2 linked regions of the Drosophila melanogaster genome follow. The protein of the gene in region 1 binds, or shares a complex with, the protein of each later gene. Each region holds a gene or a part of one and is shown in the gene's direction. Other genes may lie near its edges.

Region 1 (7,572 bases):
AAAACTTGGTCTGGCAGGCGGATTTAAGCATCAGGTGAGCACGCGGCGATTCCACATTAACGCCCTCGAAGATCTTTACACTGTTCTCCTGCTTCTCATGAACTGGAACAGGCATTGAACAGAAATTCGAATTAATTTTAAAGATGTGCATTTATTTGAGGGGTTATGAAACACTTCACAGAGGTCTCTGTAACTCACTCTCTTTTATTTGCCTTGGCATTGTGGTGGCTACGCCACGCACCTGAGCAATGGTACTTCGTACTGTCCTGGTGGCCAATTGCAACACAAAGGACATGTTGAAGGCGTTTTTTATTTACAATTTATTAAAATTGTGCTCAAGTGTAATGTTGTTACTACAAATGTCATTCACCACGAAAGCCGCAGCGTTGCCACATCAATTGATTTAAATATTACTTCTCAAAAAAAATTATCGATGTCAGTATTTAAATAACGATATCTGTTTTTATTTTTATTGCAAGCACAAATTTGTCATTCGAGAATTTTTCATGTAAATACGTAAAAAAAATAGAGAAAAATGCCTGCCTAACGAATAAAACTTTGTTTAGTCGTTACATACTGGAATATCCCTTGTATTATCAAATATCAGTTTCGATAGTTCGATAATTCACTACACGTATAAGAAAGACGCCGGCTGGAAGAAAAAGTAATATGTGTAAGCAAATGCAAGGAAATTACGGCCAACAAAAACTAAACTCTGAACCTTTGCAGCCGCTTCAGTGAGCAGTAAGAGCACCGTGGTATCCTCCATCATCTCGGGCCTCCTGAGCATTGTTTTGTTCGGCACACTGCGTTTCTGCTCAGAATGGTTTAACGACTCGCAGCTGAGGGTCCTTTTGGGCGGATACCTCTTCTCCTGGGTGTTCATCCTGAGCCTCACGTGCGTCTCCAACGCGGAGATGGTTGTTTTCGGCCAGGACTTCCAGGCCAAGCTGCTACCAGAGATTATTTTCTGTCTCTCACTCACGGTGGCCGCCGCGGGACTCGTGCATCGTGTCTGCGCCACCACCAGTGTTCTCTTTTCCCTGGTGGGGCTCTACTTCCTTAACAGGATCTCCACGAAGTATTACTCCGTTCAGGTGCCCAGCGTGGATGCTCCTACGACGAGAAAGGGCGGAAAGAAGTTCAAATGAACCATTCGTCTGCTTCTTATTTCATTACTAACACATTCGAATACCTAATCTTTAATAACCTTTAATAAATAACTAACTTATAAAGTCATGTCAATCGGTCACTTTGAAGCTATCCAAGCTCCATTATTACAGTTGGCCAGCCTTATACTACTGAGTATTGGTGCTGTGGAATAGGGGATCTTATTGGGAATTCATGAATTCAGTTAAAAAACTCCAATCTCTGGTTATATGGATATCGTAATCCTTTTCCAACAGAATCAAAACCTCGAACGCAAAGTCGTTTTCACAGCGTCTCTATTGCATGCCTTCTCGCAGAAAATGTATAGCTCCACTTTTTGGTTGCTTTTCAAAGCTGCTTCCAGTTGTTATAAAGTGAATTCGAACAAATAGATCAATCTGAAAAGTCGGTTTAGTTTGCTTTAAACATTTTGGATTTGTTTTGTCAACAAAAATTGCCGGCAAAGTGTGACCAGCTTGCGTTTTACGCGTTTAGTATATTTTAGTAATGAAATACTGCATATAATGGTTGCCTGCTGGTCAACGCTTTCGAGTATATTTTCAATAAAAACTTTTGAAATAAACTCAGCTGTATTTAACAATAACTGTTTAAAAACGATTGCATCATGCATTTGTAATTATACAGGGTGATGTCTTATTATTATCAAAGAAACTTTTAGATATTTATAGCTCTTTTCTGATAGTCTATTCGAGCGCTCTGGCAACACCCCACCTAGGCGCGCCTACAGACGTTACTGGCAACGCCAAATGAATAGCGTCGCGTCTTTTTTGTAGTTTAAAATTTTGTGGAGTTTTAGCGAAATAAGTTAAGTTTATTGTTGTCGTGTATGTAACTTCGTGAAGAATCCTTTTTTCAAGTTTCAATTGCAAATATGTAAGTTGCCACCGCGAGCATGCCATAGGCAAGAGAACATACAAACTCCGAGCTCACCCGTCTGTTTTTCAGGTCGAAGCCCCAGAACAACGACACTCTGGAGCTGGACGACATCCTAAGCCAGCCAGTGAAGGACAAGGAGCGCTTCGCCGCCTTTATGATGCGCAAGCTTGCCGAAAATAAGCCGGCACAGAATGACAATCTCTTTGGAAACTTCAAACTTGACTTTGACCTTGATTTCGAGGTTCCACTGATCAAGAAGTCTCAGGCTAAGCCCAAGTCCAAACTACCAGAAGTACAGCCCCTTGGGGAGTTGGTCAGCAAAAACAGTGCCGCCACCGAGAAAGTCAATGAGCCGCCTGTGGACCAGGCCCCCAATGAGAACGTGCCTCCGCGTCGATCGCCAACATTGTCGCCCAATAACCGACGTTCCATGCGCCGCAGTGGAAATGTACCCGGATCTGATAAACTACGTCGACATGCCATCCGCCGGCGGTCCAGGAGCTGTGGACGCCAATTGCTTCCAGAGTTTGAGGAGACCGTAAACTTGACCCGCAGCATATCAAGTCCTGTAAACTTCGTATGTTAAATACATGTCCCACAAATACCTAATCCTTGTACTAACAACAATGCTCTTTTAGTTACCAGAAATAAGCAGCACACCTTGCACAGAGAAACAAAAAGAGGAAGTTGCCAAAAATACAACAAGAGTGGAAACTGATAAACCAGCGGAAAAACCTATGGAACTATCACAAGAACCAGAGCCGGAAAATCCGCTGCAGACAAAGGTGACCTCACCTGCCAGGAACCCTATTCTTGCAGCTGAAATTGAACAAATCTGCAAAGAGCGACAGAGTTCCTTTCACAAGAATGTACTGCAGCTGGACTATTCTGGACGGGCACCGTACTCGCGACCCCCTACTCCGTCATCACCATCCGTTGCGGGCCTACGACGTACCTACACAATGGAAAAGGGCCCAGCTCCAGGCCAGCTGCTGCTATCGCCATCACATCGCTATGACACACCGAGCAAAATGCCAGTAGTTAAGGCAAAGCGGTTCAATCAGGAGTTAATGGTCCCGGACACGCCAGAGCGACAAAGTCACGACCCAGCCTGGCAATCAGAGCCCCAACCGGAGTTCGTAGTGCCGGAAACCCAGCCGCAGGATCTGGGAGAGTTGGTGCAGACTCTGTCGCGCAGCGCGATCAGCCCAATTGTGGTGATAAACACATCCAATTCGAATCGTAGTGTAAGAAGGGACGCTGTCGCAATGAAATCTGTTCCGACTTCGCCAGTTACGGCGTTATCTTCACCACCGATTGCGCCTTCTCCTAGGCGATCCGCCGCTGCCTCTCCCCAGAAATCCATTGCACAACTGCCGCGGGTGGAAGAAAATATGGATGCCATAATGACCGACGACGAAAGCGACGAACATCCCAGCACTGTGCCATTAAATCTAGCTCCTTCAGGTGGGAACACAACCCGGCAACGGCGTTTGCGCAGTAGTAATCGGGCTCGAGCTACAATCGAATCTCAGGAGAGCTCTATGCGCTTGCTTAACCTTCACAAGTCGGTCAATGCCAAAAAGTCAAAGCCGCGAAAGACTGCTATACCGCTGAATAAGGCTCCAAGTGCCCCCATTAATGGCGAGCAGTTTGCCCGCGAGCTAACCCGGATGAGCAACTACGAGATTTTGGATTTGCGCAAGCGCAACTCGTTGAACGAGATATATCCTTTAAATGGGCACAGAAACCATCGTTCAGAGAAGCTTATCCTAGAAGAAGAGATTCAGAGGGAGCTGCTACGTAGAAATCTAATGGATGAGGCCGAAGGTTTGCCAAAACAACAGTCCTCGGATGATTCGAATGAAGACTATATACCGGTTCCGCCAAAAACACAAAGTCTTCGAACTAAAAGCAATGATCGATCGCAGGGACGAGGGCGACCACGATCTACTCGTCGTGATCTTCCAATGGTAAGTTCAAGATCGCTTATATGTTGCGAAGGAAAAAAAAAACCTTTTTTCCCCGTTTTGCAGACAACAGAATTGGTAAACTATTTGGGTCTCTCCCAGACTTTAGAGACTCGACGCAAATCTTCAAAGGACGGCAAGCGTTGTCTGTACACAAAGGGTAGCTCGGACCATGAAGATAACGATTCATTATCACCTGTAAAATTGCCAAGACTAAGCAAGAGCATCCAAATTGTTCCGCCACCTCCAGTTTCACTGCGCTATTCGCAATCTTTGCAAAATCTGCCCTGCTCCGGAAAATTTGATTTCGATAATGTCGTGATGGCAGCCCCACCAGATTTCCATGATAGTGTAAATAGTGATGCAATTGAGATTGCTCCCCCGCCTCCAGAGTACGTTGTAAATACACGGGGCAGAAGCACAAGTGGGCGAAAGAGCAATAAAAATGACCTGGTTTTACCTCCACCGGGGTACGAAGGGGGCCAGGAAGAAGAACATGATGAGCGACCAAGCCAGCCGCGTTGCACAGCCAAAGAACTTCAACAATCCACTCAGAATGGACGAAGGGCGATGGAGAACGAACTGGTACCACCTCCTATCGAATATGTTGAAGAAGAGAATCGCAACAATGAGCAATCAAGGAGATCGACGAAAAATGGCAATCTTGTTGATCGAAATACACATAACGCAGTAGAATATTGTGAACCGCCAGAGCCACCAGAGTACGACGATAGTGACCATGGGCAAGCAAGTATACTGAGGAGAAGTGGAAAAAAATTGCAGCACTCCAAACAGAGTGTACAAAAGTCCAATAAGGAACAAATTATTGCACCTTCGTACGAAAATAACGAAGACTATGACAGTGACGAGGAACCAATTTACAATGAAGAATACGGAAAAGAGGAATCTCAAAATAAAAATGTCACTAGAAGAAAGAGCGATAAGGATGAAATGGCATCACATACATTAGAATGTATTGAAGGTCCAGATCCAAATTGGAATTCGTCCTGTAACAAACAGAATCGTAATCACCAGAACGCATCAAAAAGCAAAGAAAATGATAAGTTAGCCAATCGTTCATCTAAGTCCCAGAAACTCTCAAATCCCCGCCAGAATGCAGTTGGTACAGAAAAATCCGTAGCTCTAAGCAATCGAGGGGAAGAATGTACCGAGAAATCATCAGACGTTATGGAATCACTTCGCGTTAACACACCCACTCCTCCGATTGATCAAAACTCAGATGATGTTCCCAGCAGAAATCCATCTCCCAGTAGGACTCTTTTGTCTGACGACGTACCCAGCACGAGTAGAGCGGCGTTGGAGTTTTTGCAGCGTAGTCAGAACATGTCAAAGAGTCGTCCCCCGGATGAATCAAGCGCGGATGTGGTGTTCAAGAAACCATTGGCACCTGCACCAAGGGCGAAATCAAAAAAAGGGAAGTCTGAAGTAGACAAATTAAAGCTGGCCAAAATGCCGGTGGAAGCTGAGGAACTAAATACTAGTGAGTATATTCAATAATAAATGTTTTGATAAAATTAAATGTATGCTCTATTATTTTCTGCTCCCTTAGCCGGTATTCGGAGATCAAAGCGCGGTCAAGTTCCACTTCAGATGAGTTGGTGTCACACCATGGATCCTAGCAAGTTTAACTTTATGAGTGGCTTCATAGAGCCTCGCAGCAAAAACTCAAAGACGAAAAAGGGAAATTTGAGTAAGGCGAAGAAAGCCAGTGCCACAAAGCCAAAGCCTACTGTAGAGAAGAACTTACCCGACAACCGGGGACCATTGTGCAGCAGTACCCCAAGAATTTCTGAAAAGCTGCCAGGGGCCATACCGCATTCCGAATCCCTTGGCCTGAGTACCTTGACGTGGGAAGAAACTGAAGTGCAAGCAGAGGCTGAGAAGGTGCCCAAGAAAAGGGGACGACCAAAGAAGGCAGTTGGAGGTGTCCAAACTGATACGGAGGCTGAGCCAGAACCAGAGCCAGAGCCTATGATATCTTCGGTTGCTCCACTTACAAGCGATCAGGAAGAGCCTGACGTTCCTGACGAGCAGGCGCCTTATACGGAAGCTGCGCTAGGTCCCGTCGTATTTTCAACTCCCCTGAGAGACGAGCAGGAAGAAGCCTCCACTAAACTGATGCAGTGGCTGCGTGGCGTCGGCGATGCACCACCCAGTGCAAGTATGTCGGATGAAAACGCCAGTGTCTGTAAGTGTAAAATCTATAGAAATTGAATCCATATAGCTTATTTATTAATAATTGCTATTTTTCATTGCCAGCTTCTGCAAACGAATTGATTTTCTGTCAGGTAGATGGTATCGACTACGCTTTCTACAATACAAAGGAGAAAGCAATGCTGGGTTATATGCGATTCAAGCCATACCAAAAACGTAGCATGAAACAAGCGAAAGTCCATCCACTTGTAAGTAAAATATAAGATTATTCCCATTCAACTCGCAGATCATTTTAAAACCTATTCTGCTTTTAGAAACTCCTTGTGCAATTTGGCGAATTTAATGTGGAGACCTTAGCCGTGGGCGAAGAGAAGGAAGTCCATTCTGTTCTGCGTGTTGGTGACATGATCGAGATAGATAGGGGTAAGATATTGCTGAATAATATTTATTATATATTATTTGAATGTTTCTTTTCTTCCTTAGGCACTAGGTATAGTATTCAAAATGCGATAGATAAAGTCAGTGTGCTGATGTGTATACGCAGTTAGTAATTGCTTTGTAATTTATATACGGATAAGTATTGAGCCGATTTATATTTCTTACGTTTTCGCCACAGAAAATAAAAATAATAAAGAGTTGTTTTGTTAAAATATGTAAGACCGACATAGTTTTTTCATGTATTTTAAGTAGCAAAGGTGATAGACCCACGCCATAACTTCGGGTCATATCCTAGCTGCTTAGAATTTCAAGTTCATTTTATTTCCATTTTCTTTGAAATTCACAAGTCGCTCGCCGTGATGTTGATGGCATTGGAGACTTCAAAAGCGAAATGGCAAACAGGGGTAACAACGCCAGAAAGAACAAATAAGCAGGCAACTTTCAAAACAATCTGCACGTCTGCTTTGTATGGCAATTTTTAAAAAAGCACACACACAAATCACACGCAGCAGGAACACAAACATAAATTTGTAAAAAAAAAAAAAACAAAACAAAAATTGAATCAACAGAAACTTTTCCGGCAGGTGTGCCAGTGCCTGCATCCCCACACGGGACTTGGAACATCGTTTAAAATTAACAAAACACCATCTAACATTCATTACAGCAGTGTCAACCCTTTGATCATCCCACACGCCGCACTCTATTACGAGTTTCCCGGAAAATACCTTGCAAATAAAAGGAATTAATAGAACGATTTTATATATAGATAATCTTATATATATTCTTTAGTTCACTTGATTGGTTTAAAATATGTTAATGGGAAGCTAAAAAACTAAATATTTTATATTCACATGCTTGCACATGTTCTCGGTTCACATATTTTCGCCGAGTGTGCACAGACAATTGAATCGGAATTTTTCAGGTCTCGCTTAGGCAGCTGGAC
Region 2 (6,149 bases), 8.5 Mb from region 1:
ACGCCCTTTTGGATGGCGCCCGAGGTGATCAAGCAGTCACAGTACGATGCCAAGGCGGACATCTGGTCGTTGGGCATCACGGCTATCGAACTGGCCAAGGGTGAGCCGCCCAATTCGGAGCTGCATCCGATGCGCGTGCTCTTCCTCATCCCCAAGAACAATCCACCCCAGCTGACGGGCAGCTATACCAAGTCTTTTAAGGACTTTGTGGAGGCCTGCCTAAACAAGGACCCGGAGAACAGGCCCACGGCCAAGGAGCTGCTCAAGTACCCGTTCATCAAGAAGGCCAAGAAGAACGCCTATCTGATTGACCTGATCGACCGCTTCAAGAAGTGGAAGGTCTCCAAGGGCGACGAAAGTGAGACGGAGTCTGAGAACTCTGACTCGGACTCGGACGCCAAGCAGGGCGGCAGCAGCCAGGATGAGCCCTGGATCATGACCGTCAAGGGCCTGCATATCAACAGTGCTCCGCGGGCGGGTGTCAACAGCTTCCAGTTGCAGGAGCACGAGCTAACCATGCAGAAGCTGATGCAGACCACACACTCGCCAGCCGGCGGTGGTGGCGTGCAAGCGTCCCCTGCTGCAAATGCATTATCGTCCTCTGTGTCCGCCGTGGCGGCGTCAGCTTCCTCCGTATCGGTCATTACAGCCAACGAAGGTGTCTCCTCTGCATCCGCCCTGCCCCCCCAGAACAGTCACGTCCACAACCACAACCACAACAACATTAACAACAATAACATCAGAAACTTGAGCAACAAGCATGCCACCACCACCATGCTGAACGCAGCTCCTCCGCCGAGCAGCGTCACAAGCTCGTCGTCGGCCAGTGAGCTGCAGCAGAAGCGTTCCAGCTCGAAGCCGGAGCTGCGCCAGTCGCGATCCGCCGCCCCTCTGGATCAAGTAGAGGATCGCCGTGCCTCTTTGGGCCTGCCATTGCAGTCGTCGGTTCCGACTCCATCGACGGCTGAGCAGCAGCAACAGCGCCGCAGCAGCCAACGTGAATCATTCCATGCAAATAACGCCGCGCTGGTTGCCAGCTGCAGCAGCAGTAGCAACAACCACAGCCACGAGGAGCATGTGGCCACCAACCATGCCAGCCATGTCAAGCACTCTGGGGCGGGACAACGCCTAGTCCAAACGAACAGCGCCTGTCTGAACAACTTCCTCTTCCCCGTGCTGAGCGACATCCAGCGAAAGTACTCCGGCGGAGGATCTGCAGGAAGCGGAGGATCAGGCGGCCGTAACATAGGCGTCGGCAGCGACATCGGCGACCTGAAGTCTGTGTTCGAGCTGGCCGAACGTTCCAGTCCGGGAGTGAGCGACCTATTTATGAAAGAGCTGATCCACATGCTCGTTCCTGGTTACTCGGAGACGCGAATCAATACGATCATGGACCGCGCCATACGCAACCGCAAGTAGCTGGCGAAGCCGTAGCAAATTCCGATTCCAAGCAGCCTATTTTAATATATACACAACTTTATTAACGACACCGAGACAACACAAACTGAAACGCTGGAGCAGACATATTCCGACATTTAGTGGCCAACAGAGGACCGGGAGCGATGTACATGTATTTCAATTGAACAGTTATTTAAGCATATAATATGTATTCGTTTGTTTATCTGCAATATTAATCTAATGTAAAACATATATAACTTCAAAATAAAAACCCCACAAAAATAAACAATTCGATTTTGGCGCGCTAATGCGAACTTGGCATCATTGGTGACTCCGAGTATTCATTTGATCTGGCAACGCTGGACGCTAGCGAAAAATGCAGTAAATAAAAAAATAAATAAATTGAATAAACAGGATATCGTTAAATAAATAATAATTATAATCAAAAAGCCGTGCAAATAGAACATCAAAACGACCTTATTGGAAATGAGGAACCCAAGTTTTCTATTTGTTTTATATAAATAAAAATGGGACGTGTTTAGTTAAGTCGCGTTTTGGTGTATTTTTTGGCGCCTTGGAGACGGTAACACCAGTGGCAACGCCATTTTTGTTGACTCTTTATTTTTGTGTTTTAAGATTTCTTTTAGTTTTTATAAATTTTAATCAAGTATTCCGTGAACTGATAACTACATAACCATGGCGAATGCGGTGGTGGACGAGGAAACACTGGAGGCAATGGTCTACGAGCGCTCTAAGGCCTGGTCCAGTAAAATGGCGGTGAGTCCGTAGAAACCCAAGTGGCGTCTCTTCTTGATGGACGATATTGTTTTATAGGATTTTGCCAGCCTGGAAGACGGCATGGAAATAGATGTGGCCGAGTTCGACAACTTGTTCCACGGCGAGGACGAGGACCCCGACCTGGATGACGTGGCAAAGGAGGCTGTGGAGGACAATGTGCCCGACGAGGCAAAGCTTGAAATGGGCCATATCAACGCCACCAGCGTTACAGAACTGACACTTATACTTTGCGCCAATGAGGATAACGAGGCAAAGGCGGAGATCGAGGAAATCCTTAATCAAACGGTGCCGGTGGTCGAGGAGCACAAGCGCAAGTGGCGGGAGGCGGGACTGGATCGCATTCTGGACACTTTTGATGAAAAGCAGATCGAACACCATGTGGGCCGCTGGATGCGAAGGCACAACAGCGTCTACCTGGAGGCCTCACCACCAAAGTACCTTCCACCGCACCACAACTCAATCTCAGACGAAAGCGACGAATCGATGCACTCCATCGACACGGCTCGCTACATCCAGCAGAGTCGTCGGCGCAATGCTCACATGACCAACAAGAACATGACCACCATTAAGATGTACCGTAAACACTCTCACAAACGAGACGAGTTGCGGGCAAAGTACGCCTATGGTGACGAGCAGGAGCATCGTCACCACATGCAGGCCGTGTTGCTTCGCCGACGTGAGAGGGAGCGCCAGCTTGCATATCTGGCGTCTACGCCGATGCAATGCGTCTACTCCAGCGGCCATCATATGAGACGCAAGAATCTGCGTAAGCGGCGCATAAACTCCTGGATGTTTGACTCGGCATCCAGCAGCGAGGAGGATACATCATTCGGCGGCTGCGACTGCCACTCCTGCCGGAGGCATTACGCTCTGTCTAGAAGTGTCTACCAGTCCTGCCCGTACGGCAGAGGTCAACGCGAGTATCACCACCGTCAGATGGCATCTCGAACCATGCACACCATGCGCCGCCAACACACCTTCGATATGGAAATGGACTTGAGACCAAGGCTGCCAGAGAACGAGTGTAGTTGCTGCAATAGTGACCGCCTATGCTCCAATGTCATTCACATTGCCAATAGCTCAACCGAAGAGTGGGTGGTGGAGAACAGAAGTAATCATTTGACCCAGGAGACACAGGAAAAGACTAGGAAGCAAAAGCACCAACCGATGGATGCCAGGAAAGTTAGTCATCAACCGGTATGCTCCAAAGGTCACGAACAAAAGCCACTGAGTTCGAAAGCTACCTCTGTTTCCAAATTGGTCTTATCGAAAGAAAAGTATATGCAAATGTTTGATAGTGAGTCTTCCGATGAAGATAACGCCTTGGCTAAAAAAGGATTGCTATGCTGTTCGGATAAAAAAAAAGGAATGACATTTCCAACTCCAAATGCCGCTGGTAAGATTACCCATCCTACTTCCTCGGCGAAGAAGGCTATAAGAAAAGAAGCGCGTCCCAATGGTTTGGCACAAATACAAGAAGAAGGGCCGACTGCAACGAACTCTCCAATTGAATCCACGTATCTTCCAGTTGCTCATATGAAAAGCGTATCTATTGACGGATCAAGTGGTACATCTGCAACATTTGAATCTCCAGCAAAGAAAGCGCCTAAGAGGGGTATTAGGGAAACTTCACCACTCAACGGAAATGAATTACAGCAGCTGATATCAACAATCCCTATAGCTGACGAAAAGGCATCGAGTCTTATGGAAAAAGTGGATAATTGTATTGGAAGAGAATCTTTCGACGACAGAAATAAGGATTTCATGCACATGGAGAACTCATCGACTAAGACTGCCGTTGAAAAGTCTACCAAACAGAAAAGGGTTTCTGGTAAAAAGTCCGAAATTCCAAAGAGTATTATTACTAACAACGAAATCCTGGAAAAAAACAGCACTGAAACCTTATCTGAAAAACAAGTTGCAGCTAAGGCAAAAAAGCAGTCAGTTAGAAAGACAGGTGCGACCGGAAAACCGTCTACTTCGAGATTGAAAAAGTCAGAAAAAACGAAAACAACTTCTTCTGTGACTTCGACTTCGAAGTTAGAGCAAGTCAGGGAAGAGGAGTCCGATGTATCATCAGAAGTACTGGCAAAACCTAAACCACAATGTTCAACTACGGCAAGCATTTTAAAGCAAGGTGGTGATGGGGCATCAAACTCGGAGGATGATCTGCAAATAGCCCTGGCTATGTCGAAGGCCACCTACAAGGAGGAACAACAGAAGCGCAAAAAAACGAAAAGGGAGCCATCTAATAAGCAGCCCCAATCACCTGCAGAGAAATCAATGACGGTATTCAACAATCAAAGCGTAGCGTGCAACTCCACAGCTCTGGCCAACGACACGGCTTGCTACCGCGTGCTTCCCAAGAGACGAGGAGTCAAGAGGGCAGCCGCTGTTAGCACTACGGAGGAGAAGACAGCGACGAACAGCTCGAGCTCCCCAACGAGCAGTTTGGAAGAGATGGGCAGCCCCACAGGCGGGGATCCTGACTGCACTGTAGTTACATCTACCACTGGCTGCGAACCGCCTGCAAGTGAACGACAAGAGATTCCAGCGACCATCAAGATCACCAAGCGCGGCATTCTGCTGCACAGCCCTTCCGCGCCGGAAGGCGCCAGCTTCACACTGACCGAGCAGGGACTCGGAAAGATTATTGGAGAACGTTGGGCCCGCAAGTACCTGAAGTACCACATCGGCAGTCGGAGCTTTGATAGCCGACACTCGGTTTACTATCAGCCGACTCCCCAACTCGCCGCAGCTCTCAGTGCACCGCAGGATGCGCAGAACATCGGGAACATCTCGGGCTCAAGTGCAAGCGATGATGACATCTTCGAGCAAATCAATCGATATGGAACGGTGTACAGCATACTCGAGAATAATTCCGGTGACAAGTAATTAAGTAGTTAGGTTTCATATTTCAGACCTATTTTTTAAATATATTAGGTTCATGTTTTGGTTGTACATGACGGATTTCTTGGTGGTGTTAAACACGTCCTTGCAAAAGAAATTATATAAGAAAAGTTGTATTTAGTTCATTTTTTTGTGTTTTGATTTATTTCACGTAAATTACATGATCGATAGTGATAATAGAAAACATAATACGTCATAATCATTTTAATCATCATAAATTTTTCGCTTAAGTATTAAATAATTGTTTAAGAGATTTATTCGCATTGCAATAGTAATTCTTGTGTGTCGAAGTTGTGCTTTAGTTCGTTTCCATGAAGTCTATCAAAATTCATATCGGCAATTGTTAATTTTATGTATTCACAAGAAAACAAATAAAACGTAAGATCAATTTAAAGAGTGAAAATGGCGCGTCGAAAAACAGAAGCTTCTTCCTTCCATGTATGTACAAATAACAAAAACTTACCTAAAATATGATGATAAATCAAGAAATTAAAATTAAACAAAGAGCGTTATGATGAAAACAAGAAACACACGACTTTTGACCCTGGAACATGCGCGCCCACACACATACACATGCGAAGCATATATCTACACGTACACATATGCCTGGCCGGCTATATAGCGCCCTACACATCGATCTGGAATGGGGAGCCGGGTATATGCTCCTCGCCCCACTTGATTAGGAGCACGTACTGGCCGCGATCGCGCACCAGATACTGCACATTATAGTTGTTGTGGCCAGCGTGCTTCACGTGGAACTCCTCGCAGGGTCCCTTTGGTCCGTACATGCCCACGTACAGGATGTTGTTGCCTTTTAACAAAAGCAGGATATATTATAACATCAAGTTTAAAATGGGTATGAATATTACTCACCCGCATCGGTGGCGCTGATGCTGAACTGGTTCTGCTTGCCAATGTAGGCCTTCTTCAGGCCCATACCCTTGGACACCACCTTGCTGGCATCCGACTTAAAGGTGGGCAGATGGACGCCCGTGTTCTTGCCTCCTTTGGCCACCTTCTGCACGGTCTCCACGATCACCGTG

Evidence for each region.
Region 2: the proteins of Cenp-C (region 1) and cal1 are in contact, whole or in part, in a crystal structure (PDB 6XWV), measured with the Drosophila melanogaster proteins. Residues at the interface, in NP_731254.2 of Drosophila melanogaster: Glu1302 (codon at 6,210), Ala1304 (codon at 6,216), Val1306 (codon at 6,222), Ser1307 (codon at 6,225), Glu1311 (codon at 6,308), Ile1313 (codon at 6,314), Gln1316 (codon at 6,323), Val1317 (codon at 6,326), Asp1318 (codon at 6,329), Phe1324 (codon at 6,347), Asn1326 (codon at 6,353), Thr1327 (codon at 6,356), Lys1328 (codon at 6,359), Lys1330 (codon at 6,365); in NP_650597.2 of Drosophila melanogaster: Thr890 (codon at 4,819), Leu891 (codon at 4,822), Thr892 (codon at 4,825), Glu893 (codon at 4,828), Leu896 (codon at 4,837), Ile899 (codon at 4,846), Ile900 (codon at 4,849), Gly901 (codon at 4,852), Arg903 (codon at 4,858), Trp904 (codon at 4,861), Lys907 (codon at 4,870), Tyr908 (codon at 4,873), Tyr911 (codon at 4,882).

Annotation. Positions count from the first base shown.
Region 1 is NT_033777.3:8,562,214-8,569,785, forward strand, and holds Cenp-C (centromeric protein-C), read left to right. Parts: upstream 1-1,891; 5' UTR 1,892-2,041; coding exon 2,042-2,043; intron 2,044-2,115; coding exon 2,116-2,623; intron 2,624-2,684; coding exon 2,685-4,019; intron 4,020-4,082; coding exon 4,083-5,517; intron 5,518-5,586; coding exon 5,587-6,225; intron 6,226-6,296; coding exon 6,297-6,439; intron 6,440-6,505; coding exon 6,506-6,614; intron 6,615-6,674; coding exon 6,675-6,739; 3' UTR 6,740-7,035; downstream 7,036-7,572. Other genes in the region: mRpS18A (mitochondrial ribosomal protein S18A), read right to left, coding at 1-102, 199-295; CG31460 (uncharacterized protein), read left to right, coding at 670-673, 730-1,151.
Region 2 is NT_033777.3:17,086,308-17,092,456, forward strand, and holds cal1 (chromosome alignment defect 1), read left to right. Parts: upstream 1-1,972; 5' UTR 1,973-2,094; coding exon 2,095-2,175; intron 2,176-2,232; coding exon 2,233-5,091; 3' UTR 5,092-5,631; downstream 5,632-6,149. Other genes in the region: GckIII (germinal centre kinase III), read left to right, coding at 1-1,419; cher (cheerio), read right to left, coding at 5,733-5,917, 5,980-6,149.